Linked DNA regions of Pelodiscus sinensis. The protein of the gene in region 1 interacts with the protein of each later gene in a pairwise test. Links are inferred from orthologs where the notes say so. Each region holds a gene or a part of one and is shown on either strand. Other genes may lie near its edges.

Region 1 (7,860 bases):
CTCCTGGGATCCCTCCCTGGACCCCAGCAGCCAACCTCAAGGGCCCTTTTCACCCACCCCTCATGTGATCCCTATTCCCACCCCCCCCAGCTCAGGGCCCCTCAGTGAGTTGGGGGAGGCCAGGAGGGCTTCAGCCCAGCCCCTGGGCAAATACAACTTTGATCCCTACGAACCCAGGAGTGCTGGTACCTGCTCCCCCGCCCCAGGGTTCTGCCCCCACAAATCACCTCACCCCCTTTTCTTTCTTCCAAAAAACATCTTTTATTTTTTTTCCACCCTCATAACATTTTTTTTATTTTTCCCCCCTCCCCCCTGCCCTAGCCCCACCCCCCAGCCTGGAAATTAAAATAAAGGGGGGAGGAAATAGCCCCCCCCACTCTGCCCCCCCCATATTTAATCTGGTCGCAAGAGCTTCGTGCGGCTCGACAATTCCTTCAGGCTAAAGCCACCTGCAAAGATAAAGACACTGAAATACGGCAGGTAACAGCCCCAGCCCGGATGGAGGGAACGGAGAAGGGGAAAGAGCCGGGCGGGGGCAGAAGGGGCAGGGCCGGGGGTGTGTCCTGCCCTGCGTGGGGAGAAGAAAAGGAAAGAGATGGGAAGATCCGGTCGTGTCCTGAACAAGGGAGCCCCGGGCGGAGAAAGGGGGCGCCGCTGAGACGGGATCCGGAGGGAAGGGGGCTGAGGGGGGATCCGGAGGGAAGGGGGCGCCCGGAGCGAGACGGGGAGAAGCGACGCGCCGGAGGAAGGACCCAGGCGGACAAGCGATGGGGCCGCCCGCAGAGAGAGGGGGAGCAGAGGAGGAGAGAGGAGGACCCTGCTCAGAGAACCAGCCTGGCCCCGGTCAGCCCCGCCCGCCCACCGCGCCCCACGGCTCGCCCCCACGGGGCTGCTCCAGCACTGTCACATTCTTCTTTTTTTTTTTTCTTTTTTTTTTTCCTTTTCTTTCCCAAAAAACACTTTTTTTAGTAAGGGGAATACCATGAGGTTGCTCTCGCCCGGCCCCTGCAGAGGAGAGAAGAAGGGAACGAGTTAATAAGCCGGGGGGGGGGGTGAAAGGAAGAGACAATACAACCAAAGAACCGAGGTGTCCTGGCTCCCAGCCCCTCCCTGCTCTACCCACTACCCCCCACTCCCCTCACAGAGCCAGGAGAGAACCCAGGCGTCCTGCCCTGCGCCGGCCCGGCCCCCCAGACCTGTATGAGCGTCCGCGGGGTCGGCTGTTGAATCCGCTGTAGAACCGGGCCCGGGAGCTGGTGTAGCCAGAACCGCGCCCTCGGTACCGGGCCCGGGGGAAGCCTCGGTCTGTGGTGCTGATGCCGGGCCGGTTGGTCCGTTTGGGGATCACCTGGGGGGCAGAGGAGGAGGGTCGGAGCACCCCAGGGACAGGGAGAAGGGGGACCAGAGGAGAGTTGGTTGGTGGGGCAGGCTCTGGGGGGCAGAGACAGATCTCTGGCTGGTACAGGGCTTTGAGGCAATGCTGCTGTGGGCCTGGAGAGGATCTGAGCCCAATCTTGGGGCTCAGGGCCCGGGTTTCGGGGTGCAGGACTCACCTTGATCTGTCGCCCCCTGAACAGGGATTCATCTAGCGCCATGGAGGTGCGTACAGACTCCTTGTCGGAGAACTCGATGTAGGCAAACCTGGGGGTAGGGGGATCCCACGTTAGACACCCCAAAAGCACAGGGACCCAGCCACCCCTCCCGCCCCAGGAGAGCCCCCGAAAGCTCACTCACCCTTTGGGGTGCCCGCTGTATTTATCGCACAGGATGGTGACGCGGTTGACGGACCCGCAGCCGTGGAAATGAGCTTCCAGCTCTTCAGCCGTCGCCCCATAATCCACCTGGAAAAGGGGGGCGTGGGCTGAGAAACAGGGTCCCTGGAACCCCCCAAACCTCCCCCACCCTCATCATGGCTCCTCCACTTACATTGCCCACGTATATGGACCGAGCGTCCGCCTCCATCTTTTCCTCTAAGGACATGATGACAGGCCCAGCTGTGAAGACAAAGCGGGGGGTTAGTGAGAGGGAGGCTGTACCCCAAATCTGTCCAGGGGCCCCTCCCTTTTTCAGAATAGGAAGGGGAGCACCCCCTTCCTGCACTGTCTTTACCTGGCATAACTCATGTGGCTAGATGCATAAACAATTGTGTTTATATAGGCCCTACGCAAACAACCCAATAGGGCAACATTTACGTAGGACCTACCTAAATGATTCCGAGCACAGGAGTGTGGCACTGGGAGGCCCCAGAGGGCTGAAGGGGAAGGATGGTCACCATTTACACAGAACCCACACAAATGAACGGCCGGCGTTTACAAAATGTATTTATGTAGGTCCTACAAAAAAAATCCAACAAGCACAATTCCCATGTGGCTCTCAGCATTGCCACCCCCCAGAAGTCTGAAAGAGAATGGGGGGGGGGAAGCTACTGGTTACATAGGCCCTACACAAACAGAATTGTGACCCCCAAATGTCTCCTAGATTCACCACCCCCACAGTCCAAAGGGGGGTACTGGGTACTTAGGTCTTACACAAAGAAGATGGTGGCGTTTAGGTAGGTCCTACACAAAGAGCTTTCAGGAGGCCATAATTCCTCAGTGTCTCTAGACTTCCCAATACACAAGGGGCTCTCAGCTGGAATTGGGGGCGGGGTTATTGTTTATGCAGGCCCTACAGAAATAAAATAGCAGCATTTACCTAGGTCGTCCTGTGCCAAATGCGCCCCAGAGCAGGGAGGCTCCCAAACACAGAGAATTCCCCACCACTCACAGGGGCCCAGGAGGAAGAGCGGGGGAGGGGAGGAAGAGAGTTCCTGTTTACGTAGGACCTACACAAATAAAATCATGGCTGTGCTGCTCACAGGCGTGCCCTGGCTGCGCCACCCGCAGAGGGTCCAAGGGGATTTCTGGGGGGAAGGGGGAAATTAAAGAGGACACGGGGGGGGGTCCTCACCATTGCCTGGCGGGGGGCTCATGTTCATCTGCTTCTCCACCTCATTCTGCAGCTCCTTCAGCTTCTCCGCCTCCTCCTCCATCTCCCGCACCCGGGCTTTGATGGCCTCCAGCTCCTGGGAGGCACGGGGGTCAGCTGGGGGGACCCCCCACGGCTGAGACTAACACCCCCCCTTGACAACCCTCGCCAACATCCCCCCTCAGCGCTGCCCTTAGTCCCCCCTTGCGGCTCTCCCTGCTGCCCAGCCCCCCAAACTCCCTGAATGCTGACCCACACACAACCCCTCTGCCACTGAATCTCCAACCCCCTATCCTGGCCCTGACCCCCCAGATCCCGTGCTAGATCCCCCCCACACAGGGGGCACTTCTCAGTTGTGCCCCACCCCGCATTCCCCCGCCCCTCCCCCTTAACAAGCACTGCCCCTCCCCCAAGCCCCCCGCCCCTCCCCCACCTACCAAGCACTGCCCCTCCCCCAAGCCCCCCGCCCCTCCCCCACCTACCAAGCCCCCCGCCCCTCCCCCACATGCCCCCTGCCCCTCCCCCCGCTCACCGGGTCCTCGATGGCGGGGTCCCCGGGGTCCCCCTCGCCCAGCCCCGCCTCCTCCTCCAGCTCCTCGGGGGGGCGGTGGGCGGGGCCCCCCCCGGGCCCGGCGCGCGGGGCGGAGGCGGCGGGGGGGGGCGGGTGCGGGGGCCCCCCCCGGGCGCCCCCCCCGGCCCGGCCCCCCCCGTCCAGCAGCAGCTCCCCCCCCTCGTCCTCCCCCTCCCCCCCGCGCCGCACGCGCGGCCCCGGCTCCGCCCCCAGCGGCGCGGGGGGGCCGGCCCCCCCCTCGGGCCCCTCCCCCGCCCCGCGCGCGCCCCCGGCGCTGCCCCGCGCGGCCGCCGCCACCGCCGCCGCCATAGCGCCTGCTGCTCTGCCCGGGCCGCCGCGCCGCGCGCCGCTCCTCATTGGCCGCCGCCGCCGGGCCCCGCCCCCGCCGCCGCGCGCCATTGGCTGCCGCGCGGGGCGGGCCGGCGGGGGCCCCGGAGCTCGCGCGCCATTGGCGCCGGCGCCCGTCCGTCAGCGGGCGGCCGCGTCCCCGATTGGCGGCGAGCGGCGGAGGCCGGCCGGCGTCCCTGATTGGCTCCCGAGCCGCCTGGTCTCCAGCGCCATTGGCGGAGGAGCCCGCCGGTCCGATTGGCTGCGGCGCGAGATCCTGGCGGAAGGGCTCTGGGGGCTCGCGCGCCATTGGTGCCGACGCCCGCCCGTCACCGACACGCTCGAAAGTGATTGGCCGCCTTCGGGGGGGGCCAACCCGACGCTTTCGATTGGCCGCCGGCCCGCCATCACTCCAACGCCATTGGCGCATGCGCCCGCCCCTCATTGGCGCCCGCCGCTGGGATTGGCCGGAGGCTCCAGGGCGAGGCTAGCGCCTTTGATTGGCCCAGCGCCGCCTCACCCCCCCCCCCCTCCGGCGCGCTGCCTCCTGATTGGTGGGGGCTGTTGGCCCCGCCTCGCCGCTGCGACCCCTTCCGCCCGAGCCGCTGATTGGCTGCGCAACGGCCCCGCCCCTCTGACCTTTGACCCGCCAGCGTTTGACCCCCCTGGCCCTCATTTAACCCCGGAAGTGCCCGCTAGACTGCCCCGACCTTTGAACTCTGGTCCTTGACCCCCGCCTCCTCACCCCTGCCCCCACCCCTCACCTGCCAGGTCCCCTCTCTCCCCTTCCCAGCTCTGCCCCACCCCCACCCCCCCAACCCTGCCCCCTCCCCCACCTCCCACCTGCCCCACAGCCCCCACCCCTCATTCCTGCCCCCCAACCCTGCCCCCTCCCCCACCCCCCATTCCCACCTCCCTCCTGCCCCCTCCCCCCCCATTTCCTGGCCTGCTTCCCAGGATCCATTAGCTGCCTTTGGTCTCATCAATTATTGATCCCAGATTGGAGCATTTTCGGCCCTTTGGCTCCCCGGCCCCAGACTGCCGGACGCCTGGGTCCCTGCCAGGTTAACTCTGGGAGGAGCCTTTGCCCCGCCCCGGCTGGTAAAAAGGGGGATCCCTGGGCACAGGGAGGAGAGGAGGCTGGGCGGAGGGGACGTTACGGTAACCGCCCCATCCACTTTGGACATGGAGGGACACTAGAAAGGGAGGGGTGGCTGCCGGAGGAAAGAGGAGGAAGGAGAAAGAGACGGAGAGCGCGCCCGGGCGAAGCCACCTCGGAGCCACAGAGCCCAGCCAGAGCAACCAAAAGACGGATGGCAAGGAGAGAATGAGACAGCTGCGGTGGAGAGATCGAAGGCAGCCCTGAGAGAAGAAGAGAGTCCGCAAGGGAGGAAAGCGGCAGACAGTTGCAGCGGGATCAGAGGAAAGAGGAGGAGACGGCGCAGGAACGACGGAACGAGAGGCACCCCGGACGGAGAGAGAGAGACCACCAGTCCCTGGCAGAACATGGAGAACAAACCAATCTGGCTGGCGTGAGAGATTCGGACTCTGAGGAGGAAAGGAACAAGCAGGCAAAGGCCAACAGATAGAAGACGGCAGGGGCCAGACGGAGACGGAGCCTCAGAAACTCAGGAAGGCAGAAGGCAGTGAGTTAGGTGTAGGAGAAAGCGCCCCGCCGGAGCAACAGAAGGAGAATTTTTGGAAGGAAAAAACACAGAAGATTGTGACAAGCAAAAGAACGAGTCAGATCTCAGCAGAGAGAGAGACTCGGACCCTCCAGAAGAGGCAACGGAGGAAGGCAGCAACAAGGAAGCGGTAGAACAAGCCGCCGCCATGACGGAGCAATAAAACAAGCCACAGCCCAGATGGACTGAGCGGCAGAGTGGACAGAGAGCCAGCAGGATTCAAACCCCAGATAAAGCAACAGAGCAAGCCAGAGCCCAGGAGTGATAGAATGAGTTGGCTCCCAAACAGAGCGACAGAACAAGGCAGGGCCCAGACACAGCGGTAGGACTCAGCACCTGGGTGGAGCGATAGTGACGGCCAGATAAAGCGATGGAGCCAGGCAGGGCTCAGACTGACAGTTAGAACAAGGCCCAGACGGAGTGAGAGAAGGACTTAACGTCTGGACCGAGCAATACAATGAGGCAGGGCCTTGGCCAGTGACAAAAGGACTCAGCCTCCAAGCAGAGCGACAGAACGAGGCAGGGGCTGGGACGGTCGCAGGGCTCAGCCTCCAAGCAGAGCGACAGAACGAGGCAGGGGCTGGGACGGTCGCAGGACTCAGCCTCCAAGCAGAGCGACAGAACGAGGCAGGGGCTGGGACGGTCGCAGGACTCAGCCTCCAAGCAGAGCGACAGAACGAGGCAGGGGCTGGGACGGTCGCAGGACTCAGCCTCCAAGCAGAGCGACAGAACGAGGCAGGGGCTGGGACGGTCGCAGGGCTCAGCCTCCAAGCAGAGCGACAGAACGAGGCAGGGGCTGGGACGGTCGCAGGGCTCAGCCTCCAAGCAGAGCGACAGAACGAGGCAGGGGCTGGGACGGTCGCAGGACTCAGCCTCCAAGCAGAGCGACAGAACGAGGCAGGGGCTGGGACGGTCGCAGAAGGACTCAGCACCCGGGAGGAGCGGCACAAGAAGCCAGTGCCCACGCGGACCGAACCAGGCCCCATGGCGCGCGCCCCCCCGCCCGCCAGTGACATCCCACGCAACCTAAGCTACATCGCGGGGCTGTACGAGCGGGCATATTACCGCACGGTCCGGCCCAGCCTGGGCGACGACTCCGACTCAGAGGCCGAGGGGCGGGCGCGAGGGCCCAGGCCGCGGGGACGCCAGGGCCGGGCGGGTGGCAGAGGGGGGCACCGGCGCCGCAGGGCCCGCTCCGCCCCGGCCGGAGGGCCTGGGGGGGGCTCCCGCAGCCGCAGCCCCGGCGCCCGCAAGCGGGTGCGCTTCGCCGATGCCCTGGGGCTGGAGCTGGTGAGCGTGAGGCGCTACTGGCCAGCCGAGCTACCCCAGGTCCCGGAGCGTGTGCACACCCAGCTGCGGCAGGACACCCTACGCCACTTCGCCCCCCTGCGGCCCCTCTTCTCGCCCAGCCAGGTAATGGGGGGGGGCAGGAGAAAGCGGGGGGGAGCATACGGGAGGAGAAGACAGTGGAGGGATGTGCACAAGAGTTGGGGGGCAGGTCCCCAGTAGGGGGCGTTGGGCTCCAAGGTGGAAAACTGCACATTAACTTTCTCTTTCTTTTTCTCCCCCCACCCTGGCTTTCTCCAGGACCCCCAGGACCCACAGGCAGGGCGCCTGCCGCTGGCACCGTGTTTCCGGGACCCGCTGGGACTGCCGGACTTCGGGGCACGGCTGGGGGCGCAGGGCGTGTGCCTCGAGGGGGTGCGAGCCGGGGGGCTGGGGGTGGCGGGGACCCTGCGGGTCCTTAACCTGGCCTACGAAAAGAGAGTCAGCGTCCGCTACACCTGGGATGGCTGGGCCAGCTACCGGGAAGCCCCCGCCGCCTACGCCGGGCCCCCCGCCGGGCTCCTGGCCGGCCCCCCCTCCGACCGCTTTGCCTTCCGCCTGCCGCTGCCCCCCGGGGGCGCCCTGGAGTTCGCCCTCCACTGCCACGTGGGGGGCCAGGAGCTGTGGGACAACAACGAGGGTCAGAACTACGTCCTGCGGGGCGGGGGGCGGGCCGAGGGCCCCCCCAGCCCCCCACGAGATGGAGAGGGTGGCTGGATCCACTTCATATAGCGGGGTGCACAGCCATCCCCTCGTGGAGAAGAGACTTCACGGGGAGGCCCCACTTGCAGCCTCCAGATCCTCTGGGGGATCTGTGCGGGGGGGGGAGGAGGGTTCGAAGTTTAGGGCCCTGTGGCCATGGGGGCAGGAACGGGGATGGGGGGGATAAAAGGGGAATCGCGGGTTGGGAGGAGGGTTGGGCTAGGATGGGGGCGGGTGCAGACCAAAGACATGCCCCCTCCCATCGGTCACCACCCCCTGCCC
Region 2 (7,478 bases), on another chromosome or scaffold:
TCCGTACAGTCACCGTTCCTGTCCCCCTTACGGACCAGGGCTCAGGAAGTAGCTGCTGGGAATAGCTCCTCAATTGGCCTCTGAGGTTGCCGCAGAAAATGAACTAACTGCCCCCCAAGAGCGTGAGAGAAGGAGCTTCAAGTGGGAGTGAGATGAGGCTAAGTGATTTGAGGTGGGAACGGGGAGTAGGATTCCTGGGTTCTAGTCCCGATTCGGTCACTGACTGCGTGTGATCTTGGGCACGTCAGTTCGCCTCTGTGCCTTGGTCATGCCTGGAGTCATGGTCTCTCCCTTCCTCACTGGAGTCGTGGTGCCAAGCTCAGGACTAGAGAAAGCCAAGTGGGCTGCAGAAGAGGGATGGGCAAAGGGCCAGCTCATATCCCATGTGACCACCTCTGCCCAGCAGGGCAGCTGGTGCAAGCTGAGTCCTGTCTGCCCTTCGATGGCCAACCATTTGTTTTCTCGTCACAGGTCAGTCTGTCCCACGAGGACTTACAGGCCCTGGGCAGTGCCATCAGCATGGTGACACAGAGTGGCACCATCGCGATGCCACAGGAGAACCTTGCGGCTTCCGGCACGCACACGGTCACGATGGTCAGTGCGGACGGGACTGAGACGCAGCCGGTAGGGGTTTCTTTCTGCGACTCGGGGCGGTTCTGGGTGCGAGGAGGCTCTTTGCGCCGTGTAATGTCTTTGGCTGTATGTGTTCCAGGTTACTATCGTCACTGCGGGGGCAGTGATGTCGGAAGGGTCAGCCATCGCGTCCCTCCATCACCAGCAAGTGGCATTGCTAGCCACCGCCAGCGGCACTCACATTGCAGTGCAGGTACAGGGGGACACCCTGGCCTGGGCTGAGCTTCACTCCTGTGCAGTCACCCTGCTCTGATTCCCACTTGCATCTCCTTCGGACCTGCCCCCAGGGGGCTGCTGCAGCACCCAGGTCTCCTGGCTGCCTCTGTGTCCCTTTCCTCTATGTTCTTTCCTTTGGACTCCCCTCACTTTCCTCACCAGCTGTGTGCCTTGGCCGTGTCTGCTGTTGTTTCTGTTGGTGGCCTTTCCCCCTCACCCATCTTCTTCCCCCTTTCAAGGGATTTGACAGTGCCTGCCTCGCTTACAGCAGCAGGCCGGCCCTAGGGGGATGGAGGCCTGGGGCAACCCCCTGCAGGCCCTGATCTGCCCCTTTCCTCCTGCCCTGCGCCACACAAGCTGGGAGATTACCAGGGGCTGGGTGGCTGAATCAGGCTGCACCAGGCCTGTCTCTAGGGCAGTGGAGGTGGCCACCGCAGGGCCTCCCAAAGCGTGAGGAGTGGGGCAGCTGCCCCAGACCATCTGTGCAGCCGTCTCCTCAACACGCAGAACTCCATTACTCCCCACCCCACCTCTCTCTGCTGTGTTCCACTTCCTCTGCACCTGTTGCCTACGCCTCACATTCTTCTCCCCTACATCGGACTGCACCCATCTTCCTTCCCTCTGCTTGGCCTCAGCACTTGGTATTTCTCTCTCCTTTGCACCCATCTTCCTCTCCTCCCACCTCGCCCCAGCCCCTGGCATCTTACTCTGCCCTAGGCTGTCCAGGTCAAATACAGGCTGGCTCAGCCTTGGAGCATGGGAGAACGATGCCATTCATTTGTGTTTCTCCTTTCATAGCTGGAAGAGCAGCAAAGCCTGGAAGAAGCCATCAGCATGGCGACAGCAGCAATCCAACAGGAGTCTGTAACGCTCAGTGCAGCTGTGTCTGAGAACGGGTGCTGAGGCATCGGACAGTCCATGGGCAGGGAGCCTTGAGTGGGGCATGGATGGCAAACCAATGGACCCCTGTGTTCGGCTGGGGGTTTCAGGATCTGAAACAGCCGTGCCAGCTGCTGCATGGAAGACAAATGAATGCGTGGTACCGAATGCAGAAGGGGGGGGCCGTGATAACTTACGTGCATCCGTCTTGCACCAGGCAGGCAGTGAGAGCAGATAGGGGACCCTCTTTGAACAGGTCTCCTATAGCTTAAGTGACATCTTTCTAAGAAACCTGGCAGCTGGCTTTTGGCTGGAGGCTTCAGAGCTTTCCTGGATCCTGGGCAGTCACTCTGCTGCCATCTGGGACTATCCTGCTCATTTTCCGTGGACGCTAATGTCCCTGGCTCTGGAGAAGACATAGAAGCTCTTGTGCTCCTTTGTGGCCAAGAGTTGGAATTCCAAGGCAAGATGAGCTGCAACAGCCTACGTGGCGCCCGGGGGCATCAGCAATCATTCCAGGGAGGCAGGGTCTGCGCGCTCCCACTAGGTGCTCGAGGAAGGAACCCAGAAGGTCTGACAAACACAAGTGTCGTGTAAGCAGCATCTGCACAGAAGCAATAAAGCCCCCTCACAGCAACCTCAGGCAGTCCTGGTCTCGGTGTTCTCAACGACGATAACTCCTTGACGCTGGAAGTCGGAGCTTATCTCCGGCCCACGCTGTGGGCCTGCCACGGGCAGGATCTGCCTTAACCTGGACACAACGGCACTTCTCCCTCCACCCTCCCCATCCCCCTTCCACGCAACAGCCAAGCTCATTTCCAGATTCCGCTGCTGTGGGGCCGGGTGTAGGACTCCACGTGGGCAGGCCAGCACTTCTCGGGGGCGCAAGCTAGTTAGATGTAAATAGTGAGTTTAAATAAAACTAATTAAAGTTTTTTTTAATTTCCTTTCTCTTTCTCATTCAATCCCTGCAGCCCATGGGGGGAAGAGGGAGAAAGTGGGAAAGGTTTGATATGTACTTAATAAAGCTGCTGAGTTTACACACTTTGGCTCTGCCCTGCATTGCCTTAGGGGCTTGGTCCTCTGTGTGCCTTAGCAATAAACCTCCCCCAGACTTTCCAGGAGCTTCTTTCTCTTACAGCAGCAATGGGCAACCTAGGCTAGCGAGTTGGCCTCCTTCCGTGGGCCACAAGGTTGTCATAGCCAAGACAGGCTCCCAGGGTAACAGGTTTGCGAACGGCGCTTGCGTACCTAGATTTTGCAGGCTGTGCTGACTGACCTGGGGCAGTGGTTCGGACACAGAGGGAGCGCACGGCTCTCATGGTCAGTGTTGTGGGCAACCAGCGCACACCTCACTTCCCGTAGCCTGGCTTTGCATGCATGTCACTTTAGTAACGCTGGTAGGAAAAAACCCGACGTGAACGGAAACCAGCAGAGTCTGGCCCCCCTGCCTGTGGGAAGTGGTAAACAAAATGCCCGGTGGGCCGCACACAGAACTCCGATGGGCCGCATGCAACCTGAGGGCCGGAGGTCACCCACCACTGTCTTATAGGCAGCTGCTAACATTTCGATCCTGTTGGATCCTCTAGTAGGCACTAACGAATCTCTCCCTAGGTGACTGAGTCTGGGCTTAGCCTGCAACTGGGCTCATGGGGGAGTTAAAATTTCTCTCTCTGCTCATTGGGCAGTTGCTAGGCACCTCCCAAGTCCCCTTCGTTTTTTATCTAGAAACATACGCAGCCCTTGTTAGTATCTGAGCGCCTCATTGATCAGTTTATTCTGCCCCCAGCCCTGTGAGTTGGGTCTGGGTGGTTATTTTACAGACGGGAGCAGCTGAAGTTTAATTGACTGGCCCAAGAGCACACAAGAAACCATCGGGAGTAGGGAGCAGTAAGGGTGTGGACAAAAGGACATGCCACTGGCTTCTAAGTCTTCACCATGGGTAGTCCCAGGAATAGAACCCAGATCTCCTAAATCTCCATCCATGATCTTAGCACAAAGCCATTCCTCTTCCCTGAGGACTTGGCCAGTCCTGTTTTTCAGCAGGGAGTCTCCAGCTCTGCAAAGACTGTAAAAGGATGGCCCAACACCTGACTCCCCTTCCCTTCCCTGAGACCATGCTCCTTCACACCCTTTCCCCCACTCTCCAGCCAAGCCACGCCCACCCCAGCTGAGGGCCAGGGCTGCCGTGTGGCATGGCCTCAATCTTTCTGGACCGCCGGGGATCCAGGCTACCAAGCGTCCCCCAGCCCCTCCCAGGCAACTGGGCAGTGCAGACAATTTGGGAAGGCAATGCTTTCCCTTGCCTACATCACCTGCCGCCCATGGGCACAGGGGTGTGGGAACCTCTTCCCCCTCCCCCTCGAGTGCAGCAAGCTATAGCACTGCAAAGCGCCAGTGTGACCCAGGCTACAGCACTGGGAGCCTACTCCCCTTGTGGAGGTGGTTTACATAGGTCACTGGGAGCATTCTCAGCGCTCGTGCCGCGGTCATGCTTTGAAGCGCTGCCGCGGCTGTGCTTTAAACTTTTAAGTGTAGACAAATCCGGAGTTACTGCCCAGCCAGCCACCTGCCCAGCCCTCAGCAGTTCCCGCTCCCTGGGATTCTCCGGTCTGGTCTCAAACTTGGGCCGAAAGCAAAATTTGTCAGGCAAAGGGCTGAGAAATTTCGCATCTGTTCCCCTTTTGTGGGTGCGGGGAGGTGCCATGCCCAGCAGCGGCTATTGGCAGAACACATGTAGCAGCTGCAGGGCACTGGGAAGTCCCGCTGCCAGATCATTAAGATGCTGTCTGATCAACCAGGCTGGCTTTAGACCCAGCTAACAGATCAGCCAGTGGCTTGAGCATGGCCAAGTGCTGGTAATATCCAGTCTCAAATCCTGTGTCCAGAGCTGAGATTGTGCCTAAAATGTGGGGGTAGGCGGTTGAAGAGGCAAGGTAATGCAGAGTCGAGTGAGGTGGACTGATGCCCCGGTGCAGGGCAGAAAGGGGAGTATCTTCATCTGGCCAGGCATGGGAGTGCTGTCGGGCCTATCCGAGGGGCAGTCATCAGATGGCGCTGCTGCCCCTCAATTCAGGATTCTGAGGCCTGTTGGCACAAGAGTCAGCTTCCTGAAACCGGATCCTCGTTGACGGAGCAGGCGCTGTCATCTGTGCCTCTAGCCATGGACCTGCGAGCCGAGCTTTTAAAATCCATCTGGTACGCCTTCACCGCCCTGGATGTGGAGAAAAGTGGCAAAGTGTCCAAATCCCAGCTGAAAGTGAGTAGAGAGACGCGGAAGCGACGGGGAGGGGCTCTGGGGTTTCTGAGTCCCGATCTGCTCTCTGCTTTGCCCTTGGGGGGGTCACAGCGCTGTTGGGAGCACGAGGCAGAGCTGGATGCTGCTTTGCAGCTCTGTAGGCTGCAGTGGGGATACAAAACTCACATTGCGCATAGCCAGTGCCACGGCTTATCCCGGGCTCGGTCTTTGATTGACGTTTGTGTAAACGAGGGGCAAAGCGATGGGGTCTTCCCAAAGAGCTGAGTTAGGAAGTAGCCCCTTTCTGGGGTGGAAATCTTCCAATCTTGGCCACTTTCACAATGTTTCTCACCCACCTTAATCCCAGGTGAGGAACCCACTTTTTTTTTTCTTTCTCTGTCATGTATTTGTCTCCTTCCTGTTGCATTTCACCCCCTCCCTTGGCAGGAAGAACATTTTAAAAATAAACACTTTTCAGTCCTTCATGGTTTGACCAAAAATAGCTTTTTTTTTGGTTTTACCCTGATCACCCATAAGCTTCAAAAAGGCTCCTGAGTTGTATGGAGCCCCAAACCCATTTTCCCTCGTTTTTAAAAATGTTTCTTCTACCTACGTTATTCAGCTCAGTAGACGCCAATGAGAATTGCAGGATATCTGGTTTAGCTGTAGATCCCTGGGTCTGAAGAATTTGGTCAGCATTTTTGTAATGTGGAACGCAACCTGCGAGGTAAACACACACAAGACTGAAATATTGCAACAGAAGGAAGTTGGCAGTTGCTGCATGTACGTGTGATGAGTTTTGATGTGCCACAGCCTCATGTATGGAAAGTAGCCAAGTACCCCGCCACCGAATAGCAGGGAAATGACTTGTGTTCTCTGAGTCAAATTCTGCTAAACTCAATGGGAGTTGTGCCTGGGTAAGGGCTGAGAAATTAATGAAAGTTTTGGCTTTCTGTTTTGTGGAGAATAATCGTGCTTCTAAGAACCCTACTTGACACTTGAGGTGTGTCTAGACTACATGGCTCTGTCGATGGAGGCATATAGATTAGACAGATCGGCAAAGGGAAATGAAGCCGCGATTTAAATAATCGCGGCTTCATTTAAATTTACATGGCTGCCGCGCTGAGCCGACAAACAGCTGATCAGTGAGGCCACATTTATAAAGAGATTTACACACTTAAAGAGGCAGCTGGGTGTCTGCCGGGACTCCCAAAGGCGCCTGAGTTGGGCACCTAACTCCCTTTGACTTTCCTTGGGAGCTGGGCACCTCACCCGCTTGGCACTTTGGCAAGCCCTAGTGGGCACCCTTCTGCAGGCCCGCTTGCACGGCTCTGGGCTTGCAAAGTGCAGCGTTTGGCTTCCGGGATTTTTACAGCTGGTGCCATTTTTCCAGATTTGCTCTTCAGAGCAGAATCCAGGTTTCCCTCCCCCACCATTTGCCTCTCAAGCCCTTATTCCCACGTGTGTCGGGGTGAGAACGTCGACCGGCCAGTGAGAGCAGCAGCCTCCTGGCGCTTGCCCATACGTGCTGTGCTGGGGGTGGGGATGCCTTTTGTTTTGTCCCATGCTGGGTCTCGCCACGCTTGAGAGTTTCAGCCTGGCTGTGGGCAGGGCGGAGAGATCAAGTCTCTCTTGGTACCAGGTATCCGGCCGTTCCTCTGGCCTAGATTTGTTTCTGTCCCACCCACGCCTGCTGCTTATTGCTAATGACACCAGAAATGCCAAGCCATCAGAGCAGAGGTTGAAGAAAACCCTGCCCTCGGGGCATAGACCCCACGTTATCCTGAGTGTCCCCTGCTGCGCTGGCATAGTCTGACAGTCAAGTGCCATGGGGGGGTCTGCCGTTCCTGCAGCCTTGCGTACTGCTGCAAGGAGGCTTTCGATCAAGGGAAGAAAGCACCCCATAGCCTTTAAAGCGACAGCTGTCCCTGTCATCCTGGGGGTGGATTATACAAAAGCCAGGCCCCTCTTGCCAGTCCCAGCCATCGCTTTTGGGCAGTGAAATGTAACAGTCTCTCGCTCTGTTCCCGCCACCCACAGGCCTGGCAGCAGGGGATGTGGTAAGCTCTTGGGCTGAGCGTCGTTCTCTCGACTCCGGGCATGTTTCATGTATTTGTGCAGGAAGGAAGGGTAGTCTTGCGGTTAGGAACCGAGTCAAGCGCTCTGGGTTCTGTTCCCTGTGCTGCAGTAGAGCAGGTGTGATCTTGGACGAGGCAGCGACCCTCTCTGTGCCTCACTGACCAGCTCTGCACGCATGGGTGTGGCTGTGGGGTCCCCAGCCAGATGGCTGGGAGGGATGAGCCTACCCAAGACAGAAGGCACCCGGAAGCTGCAAAGCGTGGTGGCGTGTCGCATTGCACTTGCCCTCGTGTGATTCTGCTGATTCTTGCCTTCTGTACCCCGTGGGCCAGGGAGAGACGAAAAGAAACGTGTGGCCTCGGAATTTAAATGCTTCACGTCAATGTTCCCTCTAATTTTTCCCCTCTACGTGTGAATAAATGTTTTACATGCG

The links. The genes of interacting proteins can lie anywhere in the genome.
Region 2: the proteins of HOMEZ (region 1) and DEF6 interact in binary tests that used the Homo sapiens proteins (3 or more experiments, as listed by UniProt). The two-hybrid records come from large-scale screens. The link is inferred for Pelodiscus sinensis from reciprocal best matches to the Homo sapiens genes HOMEZ and DEF6.

Annotation. Positions count from the first base shown.
Region 1 is NW_027465928.1:42,011-49,870, forward strand, and holds the start of HOMEZ (homeobox and leucine zipper protein Homez), read left to right. Parts: upstream 1-4,846; 5' UTR 4,847-6,534; coding exon 6,535-6,963; intron 6,964-7,137; coding exon 7,138-7,251; intron 7,252-7,860. Other genes in the region: PABPN1 (polyadenylate-binding protein 2), read right to left, coding at 966-1,005, 1,197-1,348, 1,554-1,641, 1,735-1,841, 1,927-1,994, 2,950-3,031. UniProt on the Homo sapiens protein: May function as a transcriptional regulator.
Region 2 is NC_134737.1:12,263,718-12,271,195, forward strand, and holds the start of DEF6 (differentially expressed in FDCP 6 homolog), read left to right. Parts: upstream 1-4,465; 5' UTR 4,466-4,891; coding exon 4,892-4,987; intron 4,988-7,478. Other genes in the region: ZNF76 (zinc finger protein 76), read left to right, coding at 472-624, 713-826, 1,648-1,752.